Oreochromis niloticus: one gene and its partner. The protein of the gene in region 1 interacts with the protein of each later gene in a biochemical or structural test. Links are inferred from orthologs where the notes say so. Each region holds a gene or a part of one and is shown on either strand. Other genes may lie near its edges.

Region 1 (7,393 bases):
AAGAATTACAATTTAAAATTTTCTAATGTGCTAAATGTGTGAAGTTGGGACTATGGGCAAATGAATTATTGCACATAGGTGCTGAGTGTGTAAATCTTTGGTATGCAGGCAGGAAAGTGGCACAGTGTAGCAGTTTACCTAAGCTCTAGGGGAAACTTATGAAAAAACTTCATAAGTTTCCCATGCTTGTTATTACAGCACTGATGTTGTGCTTTAGGAAGGGGGAAACAATACACAGGATTAGAAGTGTCTAAGCTGACACAACTTCTTCTCCTGTTCCGGTGTGTGCTCAGGTGAGAGCAGTGGAAAGAATTGCACGCTCTCCCTGAGGAATTTAGACAGAGCCAAACAACACAGTGTCTCTCCAACACAGACTGTAAACGGTGGCCGGTACAGCCTGTGGAGCACACAGACATGAGCTGCGCAGACGGTGCCTTGACATCAGAGTGTCTGGCCTCAGTCATGTGACCAGAGAGGTCTGGGAGCGGTGCACTGAGCTATCACAGCTCATCACAGACAACACACGCAGCTTTAGTATGCGGTATGCACACAGAGGCTGGGCTTTGTTTGTGGTAGAAACAAATGAAAACTTGACCATTACTTAACTTGTTAGTGATGATAACGCCAAAACAGGTTGGTCTAATGCAACTAAAACCGACTCATTTAAATATAAAGGGAAAAATGAACAACAACCAGCAAGAGGCAGGATGTTTGTTTCACACAAAAACCATAATTAGTGTAATGTTTTCACTCTCTGGTAATCTTAGAAAATTGCTACTGATTCTCAAGGCTGTTGGGTTGAACCACCACTCAATCCAGTTACAAAACCTCAACAAGCCCTTCCTCTGAAGGCAGAGCCATACTGGTTTGATTTGAGAGACAGCTGAAGAAAATGAGGCAGCCAAAAGGATGTGTGTCACTCCTGTCCACCACTTTATTAACTTCACTCTTTGCCGTGTCATTCGGACGCTGTGTGTGAAGTGTGGGACAATATATAAGACAACATACTGGCTGTCTCTATACTGCCTACTCAGTGCTAATCTGTTAAACATAAGGTCATCATGGTTTTGCTACAACAATCCAATGACTCAGGCATTTCAGCACATAGGCCACATCTTGCACTTTTGCGCCAGAACTTCCATTAAGAAACCAAACTCTTGCTTAGATTTCGTACAGAGAAAGAAAAAGGAAATGAAACAAAGCCTGCAAATAAATCCAAGGAGTAGAAATGTTGCAGCTGGTGACCAGTCCAGTGCTGCAACTATGACAGATAAACGGCACTGCCTGAATTCCTAAAGAACTTGTATATTCAGCTGAGGAGATCCATTTTGTATAGATGACAAACAAGGGCAAAACAAAAAATGTAATGAAAACATCGGAAAAAAAGGTGAAAGATCATGGGATGTGAATGGGGAAAACCTCTCTGCTTAGCAGTATAACAAACAAACTGAAAAACTCAATATGTCTGATAGAGATGATGATGATTTGTAGTCGAGTCAAAAGGGAATAGGATGCATCTCCTCCCAGTGCCAAGTATGTGCGCTCATGTGTGTCCTGCATGTTAAACACACAGCTGATCGCTACCATCACTGGATTCTCTTGTGGCTCACAGCAGGGCACAAAGGGCAGATTGAAGAGTCAGGAGTGTCTCTGATCGCTCCTCTTTTTGCCATTTAGACATTGATGAACTCTCATTTAGGAACAAAAAAGGTGTTAGTGGGTAACAGCAGTGTTATTGGTAATTACTTCAAGCACTTAGCTTAATGTTGTTTTCCACAAATATTCATTACAGTCCCTTTATAAGCCCTGGATCACCTCCAGAGTTCAACTAAGGCTAAAACTTAAGGATGTGTTTGTCCACCTTAAAGAAGACAAGAACAGATTCTGATTGGTTGTTTCAAGCTGAGAGTCCTGTTGTATTATATATAAATGAGTAACAGATTAACAAAAAGAACAGAAAAAGAAAGGGGGAAGTTACAACATTTAGCTACAAATTTACTTATGGGTTTTATTCAAAACTATGTCGCTGTTAGAATTTGTAACATTTAAGCTATAACGCATAACCCATACTTGTTATAGTGAAATACATACACCGTCTTGACATGGAGTAGCCCTAATGAGGCTAATGCTGTGCGAGTTTCACTTCTAATGGCACTATCTTTGTGACTTCGGTGTAGTGTAACAAGTAGTAAAGGCAGACTTCTAGTTTCCCACCTGCTTTGACACAGCCACGTCAAATTATTATCGGAAGAGAAATGACCTTTAGGCAGTACGCAGAAAGCGCTGAGCTCAGCTTAACACAGCCTGTGGTCTGCGGCACCAGCTGTACGAAATAAAGTATCGCTAATTAGGTTGGTATTGATGCTTTTAAATTTATTCTAACTTACTAACATCTGGTGTCTCACTGAAACTTTGTCACGGAAGAAAATGACGCGTACGACCAACGGCTATGACTGACAGCCGAGGCGTCCAATAGCATTCAGGGAACTGACCATATACGTTCCAAGCGATCCTGACCGAGCCAATTGACAGAGAACAGGGGTGGACGCTTCGACGTTTCAAGTTAGATTGGTTCACAGAGGCCCAAACCCCGGGGTAGCAAAATATTTGCCGAAGGAAATTAGCGGTGGCCGCGGGGTTGCTGACCAGGACACTGCGACTTCAGAGGGAACTAAGCTTGTGAGCTAGACGACTTCCTCTGCAAAACGAATAACACTTGATTCCTGATTGGCATGAACATGATAAGCAGGGAACATAGCATGAGAATAGCGCCGGTGTAAACACCGTGAATAAAAAAGCACCACCTACCCAGAAATTCTCTAGGAAGTACGGCGTTATCATCTTGCTTTATTCCTCTTCGCCACAACTCTTCAATTTGTTGTAATGCAACTTTTGAAGCGTATATCATCCACCGTCCTCCCCCTGTTTCTCTTGTATCTGCCTTTCCCCGTTTTCCTCCTCTCCCCTTTCTTCTCCCTCCCCACCTACAGACTCCACCTCCACCCGGCTATACTGCGTCTCTCCCCTATGGTTTATTCCCGTAGAAATGTAGACGTTCAGTGGGTGAAACAGCGCTATCAATGGCGAAGAGAGACACCACAGTCGCCGGGTGAAATGCTGCCTTCAAATGCTTTACGTACATTTGAAGGCAGCATTTCACACAGAAGGCCAAAATTGACTAAAATACACATAAACTCTAACGCAGCTATGTGAAAATAATAGTATATAAAAATAAATAATAAGATATTATTAGCTATATTACTGTTTGTTTTAGTCAGCATTACAAATTCAGCATCTACAGATATGTCTCCCTGTTTAATAAATCTATGTGCCGATTTGTTGTGCACTAGTGGGTAAAGATTATTCATACCCGTTTAAACGTCATTTTCCAGTGGGATTGTTTATTCAACACACGTTCCACAAATATTGCAAAAGCAAATACTCTTGTTACGGTTGTGGTTTATTTAAAGCATAAGAAAAGGTCTTCTAACACCAAGTCTATGAATAAGCCTTTACATTTATTTAAACTGATTTATAGATTTGTAGCAGTATGTCACTTTTCAAGGTTTTGCAAATCATCATCTGTCAGGCAACAAGCATCTAGGTTTTGGAATAAATTGTCTTTCCACGTTAGACAGTTACATTGTTCATTTTTAAATCTTGTCTTAAACACCTGTATATTGCCTGGCCTTTGACCCAGTGTGAGACGTTGATCTTACTTGTTTTTAATTGTACGATAGTTGTTTTTGTAAATGATTGCTTTCACTCTACTTATTCACTTTTGTGTACAACCAGTTTGCATCTGCTGTGGCTGTTTCAAAGTGCTTTATAGATAAATATTGTATTTAAAGGCCCATTTAGAGTCGGCACAGTGGACAGAGTCTGTTATTTGTGTAATTCAAATTTCACAAAGCCTGATAATTTACCAGTGACATTGCAAAGAAAAAAAAAAAACCTTGGAGAAAATACATGATAAAGGCCCACAATAATGTAAACAATTTATTGGAACAATGTACAGATTCAAGCAATGGTAACCAGTCACACCCACTATATCATCTTACAAATATTACAAAATTACTACAGTACAATATAGAGTCTTTGCATGATCCAAAAAATTTGGTGGCCCCAAAAGTATTACTTATTTTTAAAATTCAGCAGCTTATAAAAAAAAAGAAGAAAAATCAAAACATGTCGATGAGAATGTTTTCACTTTCATTAGCAAAAGGATGAAGGCAGATAATCTAATCAAGTTTAAAGGCTAATTAAACTGTAGACTACTAGAGCTCCTTGACTAGACATTCCTTAATATTAATGGGTGCTTTATAAAATACAAATTTTTCAATAAAGCTTCATAGAAAGTCAAACCTATATTTGCAGAGAGTTTTTAAGTTGTCAACATATGCAATTACTTTTAAATCAGCTTTCACCTGCATCTCTACATACAGTGTACTGTATTTCTATTGCAAAACCCCAGCAAAAATCCTCAAAGTATTTGCATTCAAGGCATTGTGCAGAGATTACACCATTTACCTAAGCCTGATAACAATCACGTTTGACAATAAGGATGTAAAAGTAGGAATCATTCCTACTTCCTGGTTTCCAACTGTAATCCCACTGTTCAGCTAGCAGTGTTGCATGTATTAACGCTAATGTGAATTAACACCCATTTTGAAGATGATGGGGTGGGTTTTTAAACCAATCTTTCCTTGTTTGAAAAGATGTGGAAAGGTGGAGACATGAGGAAACCAATTAAAAACCAACCAACAAACACACACATACACACTAGACATAAACACAACCTGAGGTTAACACAAAAACATATTCATATAGTGAAACACAAGTACAATGTATAGCAGCAGTTACGTCAAAATTATAGCACAGTAGAAATTGGGATTGTTGTGTGTTTTGTAGTACTACTATCTTTTGAAGAAAGAACAGAAGTGTGTGCACATCCACCCCGTCAAGCTGCGATTACTTCATATTTTTGCAAGCCAAACAGCTGGAATGTGACAAGACAAAAATCACTTCTAAACACATAAAGATGTGACACATACGAGTATTTGCCTCTGTATTCCATGATGCATTATAACCTGCATTCATCGTGTACGTCCTCAAAACATGTTTCATCTAACATTAGTAATACACTTCATAATGTGGCAGTTGAGCCAATACATTAAACTACTTCTACACTCCAATATCCCAATTGGATCAAGATGCTTAATGCATTAAGGTCCACACATTTTAGCAGCAATGCTTAACGATCTGTCGGGTCATATTCTAAAGTGTTTGGCTACATCATTCATTTTAAGCACTTGCTAAGTAAGTAAGTCGGTAAGCAAGTAAGTAAATTGTAGGTGCATCACAAAGGATTTAAATACTGCAGTTATTACTCTGGCCAGCAGAGGAAGAATGGATGGGCATAAAAAATAAAAAAAATTAAAATTAAACAAAACAATAATATAAAAATAAAAAAAAAATAAAAATCCATCATGGAATACATTCAGGCCATCTGCAACTTAAACATATAGATTAAAAAAAAAGAAAAACATAACACTGCAACACAAGAAGACAACAACATGTAATTTCACAGTATTTAAAATCTACACATCCAACTACAGGTGAAACGTGAGGGAGAGAACACTCCAGCAAGATTACTGTGAAGACTTTAAAAGTCACAGTGATGCTGAACATAAGTGGTTGCTATAAAAAAAATAAATAAAGCAAAAACTTGATTGAAGCTCCTGCAACCTTCCCACTTTAAGTTGGGGTGTAAGGGGCCACCAACATGCAAAAGATGAAAGTACCCCACAGTGACAACCACCCAAAACATTAGAAAGTCATCCTCAAGATCATGCTTTTAGCACAAAAATTCCAACAATCAATAACAAAAACGTCAGTACATTGAGAAATTAACATAGTTAACATTGATTTGATGGTTTATATGGTTCTGACGACCAAAGTCACAAAAAATCAAAATAAAAAAAAAAATTAAAAAAAATCACTGAGACAGGATTTGTGTCATTGTGATATTTACGTCCAAAACACAATGACACAATAATCAACAAACAGGATCTTGTTATCCTGCATGCTTCTCCTTCATTTGTCCTTTCCGAGGCTCAGACAATATAAAAGGATAAAGTAAGCATCTGAAGCTTTGATATGCCTGCAGATGAATGTCCATGTCACATTCACGCCACAAGACCAAACAATGATTCACTCGGACATCACGCCACAGCCAAGATTTTACACATTTTCCTAAAAGTCAGTGTGTGTAAAGCCCGTCATGCTACATTACAGCTGATTGCCGTAAATCTCCAGTAGAAGAAAACATGAGTACTGTAAATACAAGACCCAAAAAAAGAACCTTATCAAAGCTCAACGACAGCTGTCAACACATTTCACTACAGCTTTTCCACAATGATATACACATGCTACCCATTTTCAGAAAAGCTGCTCATTTAAAGAACAACCACCCACCCCCCCCCAAAAAACAAAAAAAAACTATGTGCTCCTTGTGACAAAACAGCCTTTTCTATAGGAACTTTAAACCATCTCTGTACTTACAAGAAATGTGTCTCAAAGAACCTTCAGCTTTACTTCACAATACTTCTCGTTTACGCTTATAAACGCATATCTGAGCAGAAGACCTACATTTCTCCTTGTCTAACAAAAAGTACAGGGTTTTGTAAAGATTTCTCCATTTTTGCATTCATTTCTTCTCAGTAGTCCAGAAAACAAGATGTTTGGAGAATAAATGGAGAGGAAAAAGCAAAAACAAACAAACAAACAAAAAAAAAACAACAACAACAACCAACAAACTACAATTTCTGATTGAGATATGATTAGATGAATTTTCCTCCAGTGATAAGGTTGTCCTGCCAGTCCCTTTTGCCCCTTTGCCTGTGCATAGGGGCACTGAGAACTGTAGCTATCATCTCCCTCCCACCCCATCCACCAGGTCAAGGAGGGGGTCAGCACCCCTTCCCCTTCCCTCAGCAGGCAGATCCTTCCCCCCAGTAAAGGGTAACATGCTCCCTGGGATGGTTCCCGATATTGTCTCCCATAGTGAATGACCTGTATATAGAGAAAACCCTGATTAGGATGCAGCATTTTGGGTTAAATAATAAAAATTATTTTCAGAGTGGAACCGACCCCAACGATGAGGCACGTGCTGTGGAAACAGTTACACCCCGTAAAAGGTTGCCAACCGTTCCTTCAGTGGCATTGGAAACTGATCTGCGAAGCGTCTCCAGTTGTCGTCTCCCACCTGGTTCTTAAACCCATGAAGGATCTGAAATTAAACACCACGAGATGTTTATACTGAGGAGTGCCTTTCAAAATAAATCCTGTGCACATAAAGTGTCAACTGCAAAAGCTGCCATTCCTGAATTTG
Region 2 (6,941 bases), about 150 kb from region 1:
TTGCAATGATAATAATTTTTAGTTTCTATTTATCCCCCAATTGCATTCATTGTAAATGTGAAATAAAAAGGAGAAATAATCTCGGTATACCTCAGCTAATTCACCAGATTGCAAATTCTGCATGAGGACTTCAAACCTGATCCGTGTGCAGATTTCTCAAAAAGTGCAAGCGCGATGTGTTGTTGATGTTAACAGATGTACAGTATATTGTGTTTTGTGGGTTTAGAGCTGAGAAATGAGAGAGAAAAGGACAGAGGAAGGATGTCTTTCCTGACTCTGTATCCTGTGTTCTGCTGACGGAGGCTGGTTTTTAGGAGATGAGCCCCACGGAAGCCAGATTACTGTCTCGCTGAGAGTCTGTTTTCCCCTTTGGTCACCAACCGCTGGAATGGTCTTTTTCAGAACCTCTTATTAAAGACTTTGATGTTATCAGATATTTGCCTACATTTGCAGATCATCTGGAAAGAATATGCATGTGACAACATGCTGTATTTAGACGGATGTTGGTAGTGTCTATTATTATGTATGGTTAGTTGTTTTGTTTTTTTCTTCCATGCACATCAGTACAAGAATCATGTTTTCCTGCCATGACGTGTCTTTCCAATTCAGCACCATTGTCCAGTGACTTGTGATAAAAGATATGGTTCCTTGTTCTTCTAAAAGTGATTCATTGTCAGTTGAGGTCAGTGGCACACCCAGTGCTACTAGCACTTGCACACACAAGTACATGTTTGATGCTACTGTCTGTACTTAAAAACTACGTTTTAAGAAACTCTTTGCAAAAACAGAAAAAAAACAGTGTACAGATGGCAAAAGTCAGCACTGGCACATTAGAGCCTTTATTTCATGATGGAATGCTGACAGAGAAAGTCTAATGGGAAGTGTCCTTCCCTTAGTTTATGACAGGAAGGCCACAATCCAAACATCAAGCATTTTAGGGCGTGAATCCTGGGACTGCCTGCCACCACAGCCAGAACCAAAGATAGCCACTTATCTCCAAGCCATAATTGAGGTAGATTTTTTTTGTCTATGTCCCTCTTTGTTCTTTAACCCTCAAGTGTCTTTAGCAGCTAGTTCTTAAAGAACAACACACAGCAGTGGGGCAAATGGCAGTGCAGGAAGCACCGTCATGGTATTCTGATAAATACGATGACAGCATTCTACTGGTAGTAGAGCGACTGTGTAGTATGCTGTCCCACAAGTGTTTCCACACAGTTTCAGCTCCCCCTCAAAAAACAGGAAGTCTTTCTAGTCAGGAGAAACATTTGCCAAGCACCTTAACTACCCTTTGGTTTCCTGGGAAAGCAGGGAGGAAACTGTCGAAACTCATAAAAGTGGTGACTTCAGCACATATTTGTGCCTCTCCATTAGGCCACGACCACACAGCCCCTAGAATACCCCAGCTTTGTTTGCAGATACAGGGAAAGAACCAGCACGGGGCAGCCCCCAGAATGACTCTGGAGATATCAGGGAAAGGACTGAGTTTATTTGTTGAAGTCAGCAGAAAAGTACCTGTGAGCATGCAGAATATTCTGGAATTAAAGATCAGTGTTACTCCCTCAGAGCAACAAAAGCAAAAACTTGTCAGCCCTTCACCTCCCAGCACTTTACAAATGTTCTCTCTGCTCTGTTAATAATAATTGCCCCGATCGTGACTAATCAGCTTTTCAAACTTTTATTGCAGTTTAATTATTGCTTGCCTACATTTAAAGACTACTTTCAGCATTCTTCACTAAGAACTAATCTATTTTGCCTTAAAAAAAATTATACAAACTGCACTCGCTCCACTTGAAGAACAAAGTTCTGCACACTCAGCAAAAGTCTCCCCGATCACATGATAGATTGGGTGCAACAGTTCAAACCTCACTGTGCGTTGTGCAAGGCTTTTTTTATTTATTTATTTTTAAAGGTATATTTAACAAAGAAAACAGATACTTGAGAAATACTTGGATTCATGTGTATGCATTACACATTGCTTTCCAGACTCTACAACTGCAGAGTAAACAATGTTCCTTCCACCTAAACCCAAAAACTGAGTATGAGTGAAAGAAAGGACAAAACTAACACTACTGTTTCCTGTTCAGCGTTGCCATCTGGTGGACAAAGAGCTCTACTTCAGCACACCAGCTACACTAAATTCAACCTTTTTTTTTTCAGCAGTGGGACTGAATGAAAATTCATTTTCACATTTAGTGTTGTCATTCCATTTCCCAATCTTAGACGATGACCTAAATGTACCGTGGATGCATCATGCCAATGTATTACAACAGTCAAGAACTGAGTCTTTAAATATTTGTTCTGCTTTGCTGCAGACTTGTTTGCATGGTTGCGTAATCCTGGAAACACGAACATGAACAAATGGTCTTAAAAACAATGTCTCAAAAGAAGAAATCTGAAAATAAACAGAAAAAAGAATAATTATATATAATTTCTAAATGTGCGTCTCTGCTTTAAACCCAGTGCTTGGGATCATTTACACCTTCCCATAGTTTTAAAACACATTTTTATATTTACTTAAAAATTGAATAATGGTTCATTCTTTTTTGTTGTATATTAGGCTACAGATGAAATACGTGGTTCTTAATAAATTCATATATTTTCAATTAAATTAAATTGTGAATTAATATTATAAAGAGAATCCAATAGAAAATATCCAAAGAGCTATGGAGTGTAGCACTTTTTTGCCCAAATAAATTTAATAGGGTGTCCAATTTGCACTTTTATCATTTCAATGTATTTTTCATTTGTTATATTTTGGTGGCATTTAGCAGGAAATTGTAATACTTAGAAACACAATCTTTCTCTGTTATTGTAGTAAATCATGGTTTTCCTTACCAACACACTAGCTCATAACTAATCAAACAAATGAATGTAATGAAAAAAATAACCGCTTTCTATAGATTATGAAAGGAGAGGATTTATTACTTACTTTTATAGTAGTTATTGTGTTTTTGCGGGTGCTTTGCTCGCATTGTGAAGAATAAAAGATTGACTTCACTGTGTGAGTAAGATGTTTATATGCAGACAAACACTGTAAAGTCTGCTTTGGGAGTTTCCGAGCACTGAATTGATTTTTGCTGCACCTGAAATCCAAATTATTGACTGTGACAACAACAAAAACACTGTCCTTTTGCAGTTGGATAATCATTAACAAGGTGGCAGCTTAAAGGACTAAATGGGGACAGGCACGGTATCATTTGTGCTGTCAAAGGTTCATGATGAGGCTTGAAGTCGCTCTCCAGTTGGCCCTCGCTGGCCTCTGTCTAACTCTGGCACTTCTTGGGGAAGGCATGTATGTATATTTCCTGCTTCACTTACACAACATTAAGGATGTTTGTTTAATCATTTACTATTATTATTTAGAGAGTTTATTGTGTCTAATTTGTGTATTTTAGGGCTAATCCTGATCCACCAGCTGTGGACTGTGCATGGAGTCGTTGGTCAGGGTGGAGTTCTTGTGATCCCTGCACAAAAACCAGAGTGAGTCAATTAGGATTTTGGTCAGTGTCAGAGACTGTGAACTTTAGTGCCCAAGCTAGAATGCTTTTAACTTTTTAAGTCTATAATAATAAATAATCAGACTAAACAGGGTGAAGTAGGGGTCTGCTACCTATGCACAGTGCGGCTCATAACAGCCAATCTTCTTTTGCAGTGCTGCTCTCTGCCTTTATCTTTAATGTGACACTATGTATTATCCTCAGAGGCGTTCTCGAAGTGTAGAAGCATTTGGCCAGTTTGGAGGTAGAGCCTGCCAGGAATCGATAGGAGACAGGGAGTTCTGTGTAGCTGATGGTGAATGCGAGCTACCGCCTCCCCGTGCATGCTCAGACTCAGAGTTCCAGTGCGAGTCAGGTACCACAGTATTAGTACCTCTGTCTTTATCGCTTTGTTTTTGGGGAGCAGTATCATGCAATTCTCTGTCTCTGCACAGGGTCTTGCATTAAAAGGAGATTAATGTGCAACGGAGACTATGACTGTGAAGATGGATCAGATGAAGACTGTGAGACAGAGCGTAAACCCTGTGGCTCGGCAGTCCTTGACAGCAATGAGCAAGGCAGGACAGCAGGATATGGGTAAGTTATTAAAGAGCTCAGTCAGTGGGAAATAAAGAGTCAGTATAAATTAGCAAAGTAAAATGAATACTTGGTAGAAAGAGTAAATCATTTACATTGGGGTGAACATCTACATAAACATCTATTGGTGATAATGTTTACAGAAAACCAGCTTCCTAGCAGAGTTGGCGTTTTAAATGTGAGCTGCTTTTGAGCAAAAAAATTCACAGATTTTGTTTCTTAATATTTTTAACAATAGCTGGTCTGTTATGAAATTTTTCACCAAAAGACTGATGAACACCTTAATTTCACTGATAGGTGTCATAAATGAGGCAGGAAACAAACCTACAAAAAGATATCGGCTTATAAAAATGCAGAATCTTCAGGCAAGGGATAGACTTTGGGTACTGGGAGCTTGCTGTGCGTACTTAATTTGAGGCCACTAACCAACCATGCTTGGCCAGGTTTGAACTTTATCCTATTAAACAGACAATTTATCTTTTTATGGCTTTTTATATTTAACTGAAATCATAAAGAATGACCAGCTCACATAAGAGGAAATCTTTGTCTGGATGGAAGTACTGGCTATTTTACCCAGAGTCTAAGCTATTTAACCTGGATCTTCCGACTTTAACATCCTGTTTAATGGATAGATAGAGTGCACGAGTGGTATCAGTCTTTTCACCTGACTCTCACAAAGAAGGAGAATGAGGAGGCCTTCTATAATATTAAAACTCTTGAACTGGGATAACACTGTAAAAGTCTTAAAGTGGCCTCTATGTTCATCCACCAGAATCAACATCTTGGGTACAGATCCTCGAATGAACCCATTCAACAATGATTACTTCAATGGGAGATGTGATCGAGTGAGGAATCCAAACACTGGGACGTTTGACAGGCTGCCCTGGAACGTCGGCGTGCTTAACTATCAGGTTAACCATGGCAACAAAAAAAATTTCAGTATTATAAACTGATCGTGAACACATGTAAAGGATTTTGTTTTGCCACCTAATACTGATATATGTATTCCGTTGTCTCAGACATTAGTGGAGGAAACAGCTTCGAAAGAACTCTTCGAAAACACTCACAGCCTTCTGCGTGAAATCCTCACTGAGATGAGTGTCAACATTGATGCTGGTCTTTCTTTCAAATTCACCCCAACTGAGGTGTCTTTGTCCAATACTTCTCTAAATTTTAAACTAGAGAGTCAGTATGAGAAGAAATCAATGATTAAAACGGTCACCGAAAACACCAAAATTAAGGTAAATATCCTCTAATAATTTCACAGAATCTAATGTACAACCCAGAATAATCAATATTCTATGGACAAGCTGCATCTCTATTTTTTTCGACCCCACAAACTTAGAACAACACCTTTATGCGGGTGAAGGGCAAAGTACAATTGAGCACCTACAGGATGCGCTCCCGTGAGCTCAAAGTAGCAGATGAATTCCTGGCGCATGTCAAATCTTTACCTTTGCAATACGAGAAGGGAATTTATTTTGCCTTCCTGGAGGACTATGGAACCCATTACACAAAAAATGGGAAAACCGGCGGTGAATACGAATTGATCTATGTCCTCGACCATGACACCATTAAGCAAAGAAGTATGTCTATTTGAAATAATTCTTTTCTGCTATGAAGCTTCTTCAGCCTTATGGTATGTTGATTAAATACAAGTGATAAGCACTAATTATCTATACTTTATTGTTCTTGCAGATATGACGCAGAGAGAAGTTCAAGAGTGCGTCACATTAGGCATTGAAGGAGGCCTCAGTTCCATACATACGACGGACAGTTTAAGCGGACACTATAAGCCTAAAAATTGTGATAATAAAACAGAAAAGAACGAAGGTTTGCATTCCCTGTTTTTCCAGGTTAAATGAACAAAGCTAGCATGCTTGATGATTCTGACTAAATTCCCAACCACTTTTCACAGTTTAAGTGTATTTGGGTGTTTTACTTCAACTAGTCCGGAAAAAAGAAAACGAAGAAAGGAATGCTGTATGCATGAAACTTAACTGTATTAAAACAGTAAAGTTCAAATCCAAAGTTAAAGTCTAAAACTGAATTTGGAGCGAGTCACTGCACTGATTATGAAAAGTCACTAAAGTTTCCTTTTCTGTTGCCACACAGGTAAGGCTGAAGGAAAAGCTATGGTGGATGAGGTGATGACATCAGTCAAGGGAGGTACCCTACAAAGTGCTGTTAGTATGAGAGCTAAACTAAATAGGGACGGAGTGATGGACATTGCAACATATCAGGAATGGGCCCGGACCATCACAGATGCCCCTGCATTGCTCCACAGTGAGGTACGTATAAAGGTCACAGCAAGGCGAGAGCAAGTTAAACTGAATTACACATACTGTATAAATGTATGTGTTTATGCGGGAGTTACGTTCTAAAAATAACCCGCAATAAATGAAATCCGCGAAGTAGCCAACTTTATTTTTTACAATTGTTATAGATGTTTTAAGGCTGTAAAACCCCTCACTACACACTTTATACACTTTTCTCAGAAAGGCATGAACATTTTCACACTTTTCTCTCTTGTTTAAACTCTCTCAAAGTTCAAACCTTTGTAGAAAAATAAGTCCAGTATTATAGAATGAAACCAAAGGCACCCGCGGTCCAGCACTTCAGAGTCACACTGCTAGTGATCGAAGATTTATGTAAATTTGACAAGCTGAACGCATTCTGCACTGTACAGGAGACACGGCACGAGATTGACTGACCATGGTCTACAGCCAATCAGGACGCAGAACACGATGCGCTGTAAAAAAACAAAAAGCGTGCAAAATTGCACACAAAACAGCGAGGCGCCAAAGGTGAACCGCATTATAGCGAGGGACCACTGTAATGCCTACATTCTGGGTATTTTACCAGAAA

What was found.
Region 2: the proteins of fcho2 (region 1) and disabled homolog 2 form a complex in vitro, tested with the Homo sapiens proteins (2 studies listed by BioGRID). The link is inferred for Oreochromis niloticus from reciprocal best matches to the Homo sapiens genes FCHO2 and DAB2.

What each region holds. Positions count from the first base shown.
Region 1 is NC_031972.2:14,029,196-14,036,588, reverse strand, and holds the start of fcho2 (F-BAR domain only protein 2), read right to left. Parts: upstream 3,038-7,393; 5' UTR 2,842-3,037; coding exon 2,809-2,841; intron 1-2,808. Other genes in the region: tnpo1 (transportin-1), read right to left, coding at 7,184-7,291. UniProt on the Homo sapiens protein: Functions in an early step of clathrin-mediated endocytosis. Has both a membrane binding/bending activity and the ability to recruit proteins essential to the formation of functional clathrin-coated pits.
Region 2 is NC_031972.2:13,876,452-13,883,392, forward strand, and holds the start of disabled homolog 2, read right to left. Parts: upstream 3,059-6,941; 5' UTR 2,930-3,058; intron 1-2,929. Other genes in the region: complement component C9, read left to right, coding at 3,216-3,292, 3,396-3,480, 3,702-3,852, 3,932-4,073, 4,846-4,984, 5,093-5,314, 5,419-5,659, 5,772-5,906 and 1 more. UniProt on the Homo sapiens protein: Adapter protein that functions as a clathrin-associated sorting protein (CLASP) required for clathrin-mediated endocytosis of selected cargo proteins.